Linked DNA regions of Daphnia pulex. The protein of the gene in region 1 binds, or shares a complex with, the protein of each later gene. Links are inferred from orthologs where the notes say so. Each region holds a gene or a part of one and is shown on either strand. Other genes may lie near its edges.

Region 1 (5,324 bases):
TCTGAAGCATATTACTGAAAGCCAAAAAGAAGTTGAAAGTCGACTTGCAGAGATTCATCAGCAACAGGAAGCATCAAGGCAAAAGTTTTCAGAACAGCTTTATAAAACTGAAGCTGAAATGGAAGCCAGTATTGTTTATGTATTAAAAAATATCCAGGCCCACAGAGATCAGATACAACTTCAGGATCTAGTAAAAGCAGAAGAAAATCAATGTCATTGCCTACTGGCCCTCAAGTTAGAAGAATTCAAGAATCTTAGAAAAGAAGATATTTTGAGTAAATCATTATCACAAGTTGAAATGTTATAACTTGTAAAAATCCGGTCACTTCTTGAACAGATGCTATGAAAACCCAGCTTGAACAAGACATATCCAGTCAGAAAACAATGTTGAATAAAACCCTATTCAATGTGGTGCAAATGGAGTAAGCCTAAGCATTATTATCGAACACAATTTTGTTGGTATTAAAAGATTTTTATGGTTAATTTTTAGGGATGAAGTAAAAAATCGTCAGATTGACCAAATTTTGCAGCATCGGCAAAAAGACCAAGCTGCTCTAGTCATGTCGTTATTAGAAGAAGAATCTTGGCAGTACCAAGCGTTTTCGTCATTGTTATCCCAGCGTGATCGGCGGACCACCCAGCTTAGCGAAGATATTCGAGCCGTAGTAGATAAACTTAATCAGCTTACCGCTTGGGAATTACAGCGCAAAAGCAGGCAAATCGATATTACTAACGTGAGTGCAAAGTCTGAAATACGTATGACTTTAATTTGGTCATTTATTAATTCCTTTTTTTTTTCTTATCGATCCTAGAACTTGCTCTCGGAAAATCGTATACAACTGGCTGACTTGCTTTCCCAGTTAATAGAGCAACAGCAGCTGCGTCGTAAAGATCTAAAACACCTCTTGGAAGAAATGGAAGTCCAGCGACAGAACCAAGCGGCCGACTATTGGCTTGTCCAGTATCAGCGTCTAATCGATAACATGCCTGATAATATTCAACATGCACAACAGTATCTTCCAAGTGCGCCTTCCTCTGTACTCGATGATGAGGAGGTGGCATCCGCTCCTCCGATGGAAGTTTTTATGGAAACTAATTGCGTCATATGCTTGGACAGTTCAGTAAGCTTACATTTATTACAGTTCAATTTTTCAAAACGAATTCATTCTAATTGCATTTATATTAAACAGTGCCAAGTTATATTCCTTTCTTGTGGACACTTATGTTGTTGTTCTGGATGTGGCAACAAGCTAAATCAATGCCCAATGTGCCGGGCAACCATCGTTAAACGACTGCAGGTTCACTCATAATGTTATTTATTTGCTTTTTAGCTTTTCATCGGTCATATCTTTGTGCCTTTGGCATCCTAAAAAAAATGTTTTCTTCATTTTTATCTTGTCTGTTGCTACTGTCGTTTCGAGACGTAAATCACACTTTAATTTTCACAGTATACAAACTATTTGAGGTCGTGTTTTTTTTTCTTTTATTAATTTTTTTGTCGTGCGAATACAAATTTTATCACACATTTTTTTGTCATTTAAGATCATTCATCCACTTCTTCATCCTCATTCTCCTTTTCATTTTCATTATCATTTTCATTGTCATTTTCATTATCATTTCCATTATCATTTTCTCCACCTTCATCTGATCCTTCTTCAATATCTTCCGGTTTTTTGTCGGATTTTTCCTGTTTCCGTTTAGCCATAGCTTCTTTGCGTTCCTTCTGTGCTTTCTTGTACACTGTAAAAGAAAAGAACATGTTGACATTCTAAAAATTGTTTTGAAAAAGAGAAATTACCTTCAAGAGAAGCCTGTAGTGGTTCAATAAATCTTTCAAATTCCATGTCAGCCATTGCTCCCAGGACATCCGGGCCACTGATGATCTTTATTTAACAAAAAAATTTTAGTAAATAATTGAGAGAATGGAACAAAATTTTCTGATTCTGTGATTCACCTTTCTGTTAGCTTTCATAGCCAGATTGTTAGAGCATGATGTGCAATAGAGAACAAATACAGAAGCAGCTTTAGCAATGGCGGTTCTAGCCTCTTTAGACACATTAACACCTTCTGGCAAGGATTCTTTTATGATTCTTGCTACTATTGAGTTGGGAAGGTTTAAGTCTTCAGGTCGTTCTGCCATTGCTTACGTACCTGGGAAAATCAAAACAAAATTCCTGTCATCAGCTAGATACATTAGTTGAACAAAACATATATTTCATCATATGAATTCTATTCAAATCAATAAAGAGAGAAAATGTCACTTATTATTTCAAATAATAACACCATTTAGTCATTTCCAAGAGATTTCTAGAAACTTTTTAAAAAATTAACTACACTTGTTACAAGATTTTCATAGGAAAAAGAAAACATCCTACCTGTCAAAACTTCTCCTACAATAATTTATTTCCGATTATACCGAAACCAACACTCCGACACTTGAAAACTTCAGATTTTTGCTGAAACAAATACACAGTCACAGTTGATGATTTCGATGTTGCTTCTGCTACAATAAAGGGCGGGAAAATAAGAAGTGCCAAGACCACATCGCCATCTGTGAGTAATATTCTAACCGTTTGCACAAATAAGTTTTTCGCCCCCGTTAGACCAGCAGTCGCGAGTCGCATAATAAAGAGGCGTATGATAAAGATAAATAATAATTTTTTTTATGTAGCACGAAGAAGATAAGCAGATCTTAATATATGAACAGACAAGATATAGGTTAAATATCAAACTAGTGAAATATCAATTTTATTACACCAATATTTAGTATTTACAGTACATTGTTGCTTCAGCAGCTTAGATTGGTTATTCTAACTTGAACCGATTTTGTTTTACTAGTATTATTTATTGTATCTTGAACAACACTTGGATGTTAAAACAAATCGACATGAAAATTTTAACAATCGTGATCACTTCTGTTCTTATTAGATTCAATAACGATTTTGACGGAATGGATGGAGATCACCAAATATGACGTACGCAAAAGACGGCAAAAGATCGTTAGACTTGTCGTTAGATAGTGTCAAGAGCGGCATGTGTAATAGGATAACAAACTTTCCTCCTTTTCGCCAAGCCACTCTACATCTCCGAGTCAAAGGGACCCAAACTTCCTTTAGCAGCCAAAAGTTAGATTTCCATCGATGCTAATCTTACAAGGGAATGACTGTTGTGTGTACCTGAAAACTTTTGAATGGATAATCGCTTGCTATACACCCGTATATAGCCTATAGGGAATAATAGATTGCCAAACGCCGAAATTACGAGAAGTTAGATTATTGATTTGCGACTCTAACTTTCACTTATAAAATTCGTTTCTCGGAAACCTCCTACCATCCCCAGTCGCCTACAAATCAGGTCATGGAATTCAAGACAAGTTTGATCCAAAGATATATTTTCAAATCCTACACAAAGTGTGAGAGTCGGGAATCAGAGAAAAGGCAGGATATGCCCCGGGATACTACTCATCCACTCCGACTCCAGGCAACGGATACAAAACTGATATACGCTGTGTCGCTGTCTACCATTGGCCCCTTCAGACCTACATCCGCCCACATCGGAAACTGTAAATCAGACGTGGATGGAAAAACAAAAAGTTGAAGAAATAAGTCTGACGCTCTTTTGAATGAGACGGATAAATGAACAAGTTTTGCTTACTCCCAAGTTTCTCTATAAATAAATAACAACAATTTAAGAAACAAATCTCTACTAAAATAATGGTTCATCTTTTTTTTTAAATAGACTAGGTAATCAAACTGTCTTTAATCATCGTTAATTTCATATATAATTTTTCCGATCTCAAAATTTTTCAAAGACATCAATCGCATCATTTTTTATCCTGTATATTTTTATCCGCGTGGGCGTACACCAGCAATCATCCCATCAGGATTTAACACGGGAGTTTTGTTTTTTGTTTTTTAATTTCTCATCCTTGACACGCGTGACAGACTTTCTTGTCAAAAAGTTTGACATGCGCTTTCCCGTTAACACATTTTGTTAGAGATCGGCCGTGTGAACTGTCTGTGAGCACTTGGCGACGAATAAGATAATCAATTGCTTCGCGCCTTGTTAGTTTATTTCCCCCGCATGTTTTTCGCTTTCATGTTTTATTTTCGAAAAGTGGAATGGATGGGATCCGGATCCCGCAGGAATTAGCAATAAGAGCGGGTGATTACGTCTGCAATACAAACCAAGCGAAAAGTCGAAATTGGTCGAAATTGGTTGTGTGCTGTATACGCGTATATATATTTAGCCATGCCTTGTTTGTAGACGCTAGACGGGATCTATAACGACGCGGAGTTATCGGGAGTTATGATTTCGATCTGCTTACTTATTATGTAAGTATCTCTTTCAGCTGCTGCTGCTGCGCGGTCCTCGAAAGGTATATGGAGCTCTTGCTCTCCCGTCACCACACCCCACTACATACATCCTCCCTCTCTCTGTCTGCCGCCCATATATCCTTTCACGTCTGGTATAGTAGTATGGTACATGCTCTCTCGCTCTGCTGGTTCATGAGAGCTGCTGTTGGTGTGCCTCGGATGCTGTGTGCACGCGATATCCAGCTAGCTACAGCACACAGCCAGCAAAGAGGAGCAGCCAGTGAGTGCCTTTAGGGGGTGGAGCAGCCAGGTTTCCTCCAACCTTTGATGAACTGGAAGTCAGTTCAGTCATCAGAGCACCGTCGCTGCGGGACGTGTGCGTAACGGGCGTGTAGGAAATCAAAAGATCCTGTTAGACTCATTTCATTTCTTACATAGGATAGCGTGCGTGAATGTATATTACTATCGCTCTGTGCTCTTGTAACATACATAACCAGATAGACTCATTTCTTCTAGCTACACTCTATTTTACTTTTTCCCCCTTTTTCATCACGGAGAATATTCTATCGTTCCTCGACGTTATAACTGCACACAAAGGTACTATACTACTACAATATTATACACCGGCCGGGCCAGCAGCATCAGCACAGACGGATAGACTCCGCGCGCGCGCGCGCTCGCTAGCCTTGCTGCCTACCAGTGGCTGCCCCGTTGTAAAAATTTGACGTTTTTTCGTACGTGAGAAACTGTGAATGTCTAATCGGCGAAGCGCTTTTTTCGAAAGAAAACCCTCTGACTTTGCTGACGAGTGCGACGGGATATACGTTGGTGGTGAAAATCGGGGGGAAATTCACACCTTAAAATGATTTCGCTCAACACATTAGCCACGTCTCTGGAGATTGGCGGCGATCTTCCGGCATTGCCACCGCGTTTCCGTTTCCGCGATCTGGGAGGACTGCTCCTGGGCGGAGGCGACTTTTTCAATGACGACGGCGAAAGGTAAGTGCT
Region 2 (6,110 bases), on another chromosome or scaffold:
TGTAAATTCAATTTAAAATTATGTAATTAATCAACGTACAGGCGATGATTGCGTGTTATCCAGGCAGTGGCGCTCACTACGTGAAACACGTCGACAATCCTAACCGTGATGGTCGATGTATTACTACAACTTACTATTGCAACAAGGATTGGGACGCGAAGGTAATACATTTTTTGACGTTGCAATTGAGAACAGCAATTTTTATTTTTAAATAATTGTTTTGCAGACTACTGGTGGTTTGCTGCGAATTTTCCCCCAAGGTTGGGCTAACCAAGTAGTGGACATAGAACCAATCCTTGATCGGATGGTTTTCTTCTGGTCAGACCGTCGCAATCCTCACGAAGTCCAACCAGCCTTTCGAACCCGATATGCCATAACTGTCTGGTATTTTGATGCAAAAGAAAGAGAAGAAGCCAGAATACGATTTAATCGGGAATGTAAGTTATCCATATCATCCACCGTTTCCCAGTGATTCATGTTGCATTACTTTTAAGGCGCTGTAAGAAAAAATGAAACCAAGTGAATGAATGAAATTGCTTGCAATGATTTGCCGCCTTGATCAAGAGTATATACGTCAACATAAACGATGAAATCTGGTTTAACGTCATGTTAAATGGATTCTCCTTGTCACTATACGGAGGTGCGAGGCTCGTGTACAGCCATTTTCCCCCCTTACATATTAAGCCCTTGTTTTTAAACTTAATAAAAAAAAATCTAGAATTATTCGTTTTGGTCGTCAATTACATTGTAAAGGTGAATTATTTACTTGGTTCCAATATTACAATCATCAGTTGAATTTCTTTGCAGTCCTACATAAACCTCATTATTACTATGGCTGTATGTTTACAATTTTGCTTACTTTAAATTTATTATGATGATTTGTTTGAATAAAGGAAGAGTGTGGTAAAAGTAAATAAATTATCGGGAGACGTAAGTAAAAGATATCCTTCTATTTTTATTTGAAAAAATCCGTAGCATTTGAATTTCAGGCAATGCATATTTATTTAAGTATCACCGATTTCACTGTCTTCCACTTGGGACCGTATTGGGATGTACACTTTGAAATTGAAGTTGTTGCGGGAAAATGGTCCCTATTAATATTACAGTTAGCTATCTATAGAATATCCATAATACTTTGAATTTTCCTAAACCAAATATCTTACTGGGTTAAAAATGACGCAATCCATATTTTGAGCTGTGAAACCACCAAGACGATCACCAACAACCACCACATCAGGTAAGGGATACAGATACAGTGCATGATCGTATGGCCAATAGACAGGGCAGATCTCCCCAGGAAGAGGACACAAGTGTCCCTGCGATGTCAACGTTTTCGCAAACTAGAAAAACAGGAAAATTTAGTAACTTGTAGTTTAAACTAGCAAAAACCTTGTCATACCTGTTGGGGAATATCATCAGAAGGGAAATTAATAGCATTGCGACACATTTTAGTCAAAATATCTTCGCGCAGAACTACAATTTCTTTTGTTCCATATTGAATTCGACAAGGATTGGTAGTAAATATACCACTTGGAATTCTTTGCACAAATTCTGCCCGGATCACTTCCGCAAGAGGAGGCCTAAAAGAAAAGTTAAAATTACTTCGAAACCGAAAAATAACAAGTAAATATCTTCAGCAACAGTAAATGAAAAAATCTGAAAATACAAATAACTACAATTTAAAATAAATTTTAACCTGGGCAATATATTACAAAATCCTGAATCAGATGGCCCCGGAACAAAAATAAAGCGCGTTTGCTCAACGAGATTAGGAAATTCTTTTATCATTTCAGCGAGCGATTTAAATAACTGGCGCAAGTGACCAGAAGAAGTGTTGCACGTAGTGCCCGATAGAAAATTGCCCATTAACACAAAGCATATTGGTGGATCTTCACAGTACCCAGCGAAAAGTATTCGTAACTTCTCCATAACCTATTTAAACAAAAAACTGTTGTCATTTTTAAAGTTAATTAGACTTGTCTAAAATTATATACTCTAGTTTGATCCAGCCACACATCAGAAAGAAAAACCATCATAGCATCCGGATTTTGTTCTTCTATCGCTTTTAGTTTGACAGAAACTTTTAAAGTTGATGTACTTGAACCACCAAAAAAGTTTGTGTTTCCAAAATAAGTTCTGTAATGTTGAATTAATGAATATTAATACTGTGAGGATTTTTACTTTAAACTGCACGTACCTAGTGATTTTAGCTGGTTCAGGTGGAGGCATCCCCAAATGTTCAATGTGAAATACTCCATCTTGGAAATAGCCTTGTCCCAGAACAAAGCAGTTTTCAGTAAAGAGTCCACCATGGAAATTCTAAAGAATAGAGGATTTCATATTTCAATTGGAAAAACATTTTTTTGTGAATATCAAATATGCATTCACAGAAAAAAATAAATAACAATAGTTACAGTATCTTTCAATGAGATAGGCACAGATCCAGTCATGTCTTCTAAATGCAGTTTGCCCTCTGTTAAATAAGTTAACATTCCAAGTACCACAAGATTGGTAAGTTTAGTTGACATTCCCAGCAAATATTCAATTGGTTGCAGTTGATATTTATTTTGAGAAGCAGTTGAACCTGACCCTAACACAGATGGAGTGAAAAGACTATGACGAGAAGTCCTGGAATGACAAAGAGTTTGTGACTATTATTAAGTGGATGGTTTCAATATAATTAATTACAACCTTTGATGGAGAATGGCATATCGATGGCGAAACATTTCAGACTTATCTCTTGGATCACCAAACAAGTTTATGGAATGAGGTGCATCAAAAGAAAGGTACTTCTTTCTTTCAGTGTTGTAGACAAATTTGGGAACATCAAAAGCAGATATTACATTTAATAAAACTGTTGTTTCATCAAACTCATTTTGGCAACACTCCTGTTGGATTAAATAAAAATAAGCAAAACAAATATTTATTTAAAATCAAGAGATTATACCTTAGCAGCTCTTTCAACATGAGATTTTTCAACAGTTGTGCTGTTCAACAGACCTTGTTTTTGTATCACATCAATCAACTTCTCAAGCCATTGAACTTGCTCATCTTTGTGTAAGGGTGTAAGCAAACCAATAATATATTTGGTAGCTTCCCTGAAATAACACAAAACAAAATGGTAAACTGTAAGCTAAATAACTGAAATAGAAGTTTAATAAAAATTGCAGATTTAACACTGTTTTGTTTACTTTTAAGCTAGCTAAGCTGTTCTTTTTGCTTTTCTATTTCAGAACTACTAACTGATTGAGCCTTTTAGGTTAATCTTTTCAAATATGTAGCATCAGTAACAGTAATTCGTATTCTTAACAACAAACTAAAAAATAACATTTACTCACGATCTAACTGTCAGGCCGTTCAGTTTGAAGGTCATAACTATATCGTTTTTAAATCGACTATTCATTTTCAGAACTGAGAAATAGAATGGCCAGTTCAAAGGGACAGCAAAGATCAATTAATATAACTTCTGTAATATTTTGATCTATTCATGTTTTATTGTTTTACCGTTCTACGTACCTAGTAATTTCACCGTGTCCGGTGTTAATCGTCACAGTTGATATGTTTCCCGCCGAATCTGTTTTGTTCTGCTTTGCCAGAAGTCAAGAACAACCCCATAAATAAAGGCCGCGCCTATTGGAATCAGGACTAGTTAAAGCGTCAAATTGAGTCCGATGTCCAGACCCATCTAGTGACAAAGTTCAAATAATCGTTCTGTTGCTCGAAAACCGGACCTTGGCTGTTAAATAAGATGCAAACCGGAATTTAAATGAAGTTGCCGTGTACCGGCTGGTATGGGTTGTCGTCTTTGCTTTCATACGGCAAATCTATAATTCTTTCCCCTATTAAACCTACCAATTCACACGTTTTTATCAAGAAATCAACCATGTTATTCGTATAGAAGAAGTGACTGACGCGTACCCCCTCTGTTTTGTGAAAAAAAAAGTGTGTTCACAAAACAGGGAGGGGGGGATTCGCGACAGTCACTTCCTCTATTAATTGATTAAACATAATTGAATCGATGACATACTTATCAATCATGAACTAAACATTTATAAATCGATAAAATTCATATCAAACAAGAATCAAACCAATTTAACGAAAATACACGAGGAAAAGAACCACAAACGTGACGACGGGAAAAATTAATAAATAATTCTACCAATTCCATTTTTAAATTTAAAATTTAATCTCGAATTTTAGCTGTTAAAAAAGCAGCCACCTTGATAAATTGTTCATTCACTCGCCCCCTTATAGCTAGGGAACGGGAGCGCTATCACTATCATCTTGGAAGAAGTGGGGATGTTCTAGCTCGGCTCCTACTACTATTGAAAATGTAATGAAACGTACTACGAACGGAGGATATGGGCGCACGATACGCTAAATTTGGCAATTCATTTCATAATATTATTTACGAAAAACGAAACCGCTAAAGTAAATAATTTACGCTACTTAACGCGCATCACACTAAATTTAATTAAGGGGCGCGACAAGAAAAAACGATTGCTGTGACTGGTCGGACGACTAGCGCTCGCCAGTCCGTTATTTAGCGCTTATCGCGGATACGTCCACTATTTAAGCGTCGCCCGTCCGCTGTTTTAGGCGGCTCGCAACACGAAAAATAATTAAGTCAAATATTTCGCGTTTGATCTAGCTCCATGTTTGCACGCATATCACTAATGATTTATTTGCGATTAACTTTCGTGTACACACGAAAGTATCATAATGCGATAAATTAAATGTAAAAGAAATTGTGAAATTGAGAAAAATTGCAAAAAAAGTCTGCCAACTTGCCCCACCTACGGGTAAGTTGGCAGCTGACGATTCTCCATTGCTCCAAAATTTCTAGGTCGAATTTTGAAAACTTGCAACTCAGCATCTCGTGAGAAATCTGTATGCCAACATGCCCCTCAAAATTACTGACAACTAACCCCACAGGGTGCTTTTCGAACAAATAAATTGATAACGAAATAACTTTTTAATGTAGAAATGTCGGGTTTCTTTTAAAAATAAGACAAACATTAATTATTTTTTGCTTGGGTTTTCTGGCACTCTTAGAGTTTTATACTATTAGAAAAATAAAAAGTGCTGAGAGGCAAAAAAAAAACTTTTTGCCGTTTTTTTCTTTCTTTTTGCTATAACTCCTGTTGGGGAAGTCTTATACTTTTGAAATGTTGTAGGAGCAATCTGGGTGTTGTCTTTCATATTTGGTGTAAAAGGCTTGATTTGTTTTGGTCTGTAAGGGGTCTAAATAGCAAAATGCCAACTTACCCCACCTGCGTACTAGCCCCCTCTCCCCTACTCTCCGAAAGTAGCAGATTTTTGCTTTCGATTTTTGAACAATGAAGCTTTTATGCACTTTAAAGTTCAATTACTATACTTCGAAATGATTTTTTATTAAAATAAATAGAACCAAACGAAAGCTAGTGAAAAATTGGTTAAAAACTTGTATATTTCTTATAAAATGAAATGATAGGGACAAAAAATAAACAAATTAAAAAAACACCGGTAAAAATCCTCTATGGCAAAATGAAAAAAAAAACGATTTTTATTTTGCGATATCTCGCAATTTGGTCCAAAAACACTGAATTTTTGGAAATAAGTGTTTCATAAAGATATGAATCCACTATTCAAATAAAAAAAAACAAACAAATTGGTGACTTACCCACGCCCATGATCTGACGGATCGGCGTGGATTGACCCTACGCTTGTTTAGAGAAAAACCGAACTTCGTCAACATGTCTCTGCCGGTTTCCGGCGGGATTGCCTTGCTAATAACTAAAATCTATGACCCAAGTATGCACTCCCAAAATTTCCGGCCATGCCCAAAAAGTTCGGGGTTATTTGCCCCAAATATTTGCACTAAATTTGAAAAATATTAGATTGGTGCGTAAAACCCCGAAATTGGCGAAAAGATTCACAATTTCGTACATTCACCTATTTTCGGTGGTTGTCAACCACAACTAAATGATACCCTTTTTAACAGTGCTGTGGTTTACATACTTGTAACTTTCACTCAAAATGAGGAATTGTCCATTGGCACATATATTGGAGGCCATAGCAGTGCCAAAACATTTCCGTGGCCAGAGTTTCCTGGATCACCTCGAGAAATT

What was found. The genes of interacting proteins can lie anywhere in the genome.
Region 2: DNA polymerase epsilon subunit 3-like (region 1) and DNA polymerase epsilon subunit 2-like share a complex: the UniProt entries of both Homo sapiens proteins name them as parts of the DNA polymerase epsilon complex. The link is inferred for Daphnia pulex from reciprocal best matches to the Homo sapiens genes POLE3 and POLE2.

The regions. Positions count from the first base shown.
Region 1 is NC_060025.1:6,578,797-6,584,120, forward strand, and holds DNA polymerase epsilon subunit 3-like, read right to left. Parts: upstream 2,524-5,324; 5' UTR 2,376-2,523; intron 2,175-2,375; exon of another isoform or gene 2,152-2,174; 5' UTR 2,141-2,151; coding exon 1,955-2,140; intron 1,884-1,954; coding exon 1,799-1,883; intron 1,741-1,798; coding exon 1,544-1,740; 3' UTR 1,467-1,543; downstream 1-1,466. Other genes in the region: E3 ubiquitin-protein ligase LRSAM1-like, read left to right, coding at 1-275, 338-422, 491-734, 813-1,121, 1,191-1,310. UniProt on the Homo sapiens protein: Accessory component of the DNA polymerase epsilon complex. Participates in DNA repair and in chromosomal DNA replication.
Region 2 is NC_060027.1:5,847,512-5,853,621, forward strand, and holds DNA polymerase epsilon subunit 2-like, read right to left. Parts: upstream 3,649-6,110; 5' UTR 3,517-3,648; intron 3,412-3,516; 5' UTR 3,404-3,411; coding exon 3,339-3,403; intron 3,099-3,338; coding exon 2,948-3,098; intron 2,889-2,947; coding exon 2,692-2,888; intron 2,629-2,691; coding exon 2,415-2,628; intron 2,320-2,414; coding exon 2,198-2,319; intron 2,137-2,197; coding exon 1,995-2,136; intron 1,933-1,994; coding exon 1,697-1,932; intron 1,581-1,696; coding exon 1,400-1,580; intron 1,341-1,399; coding exon 1,164-1,340; intron 1,092-1,163; coding exon 1,005-1,091; 3' UTR 936-1,004; downstream 1-935. Other genes in the region: egl nine homolog 1-like, read left to right, coding at 42-161, 227-472. UniProt on the Homo sapiens protein: Accessory component of the DNA polymerase epsilon complex. Participates in DNA repair and in chromosomal DNA replication.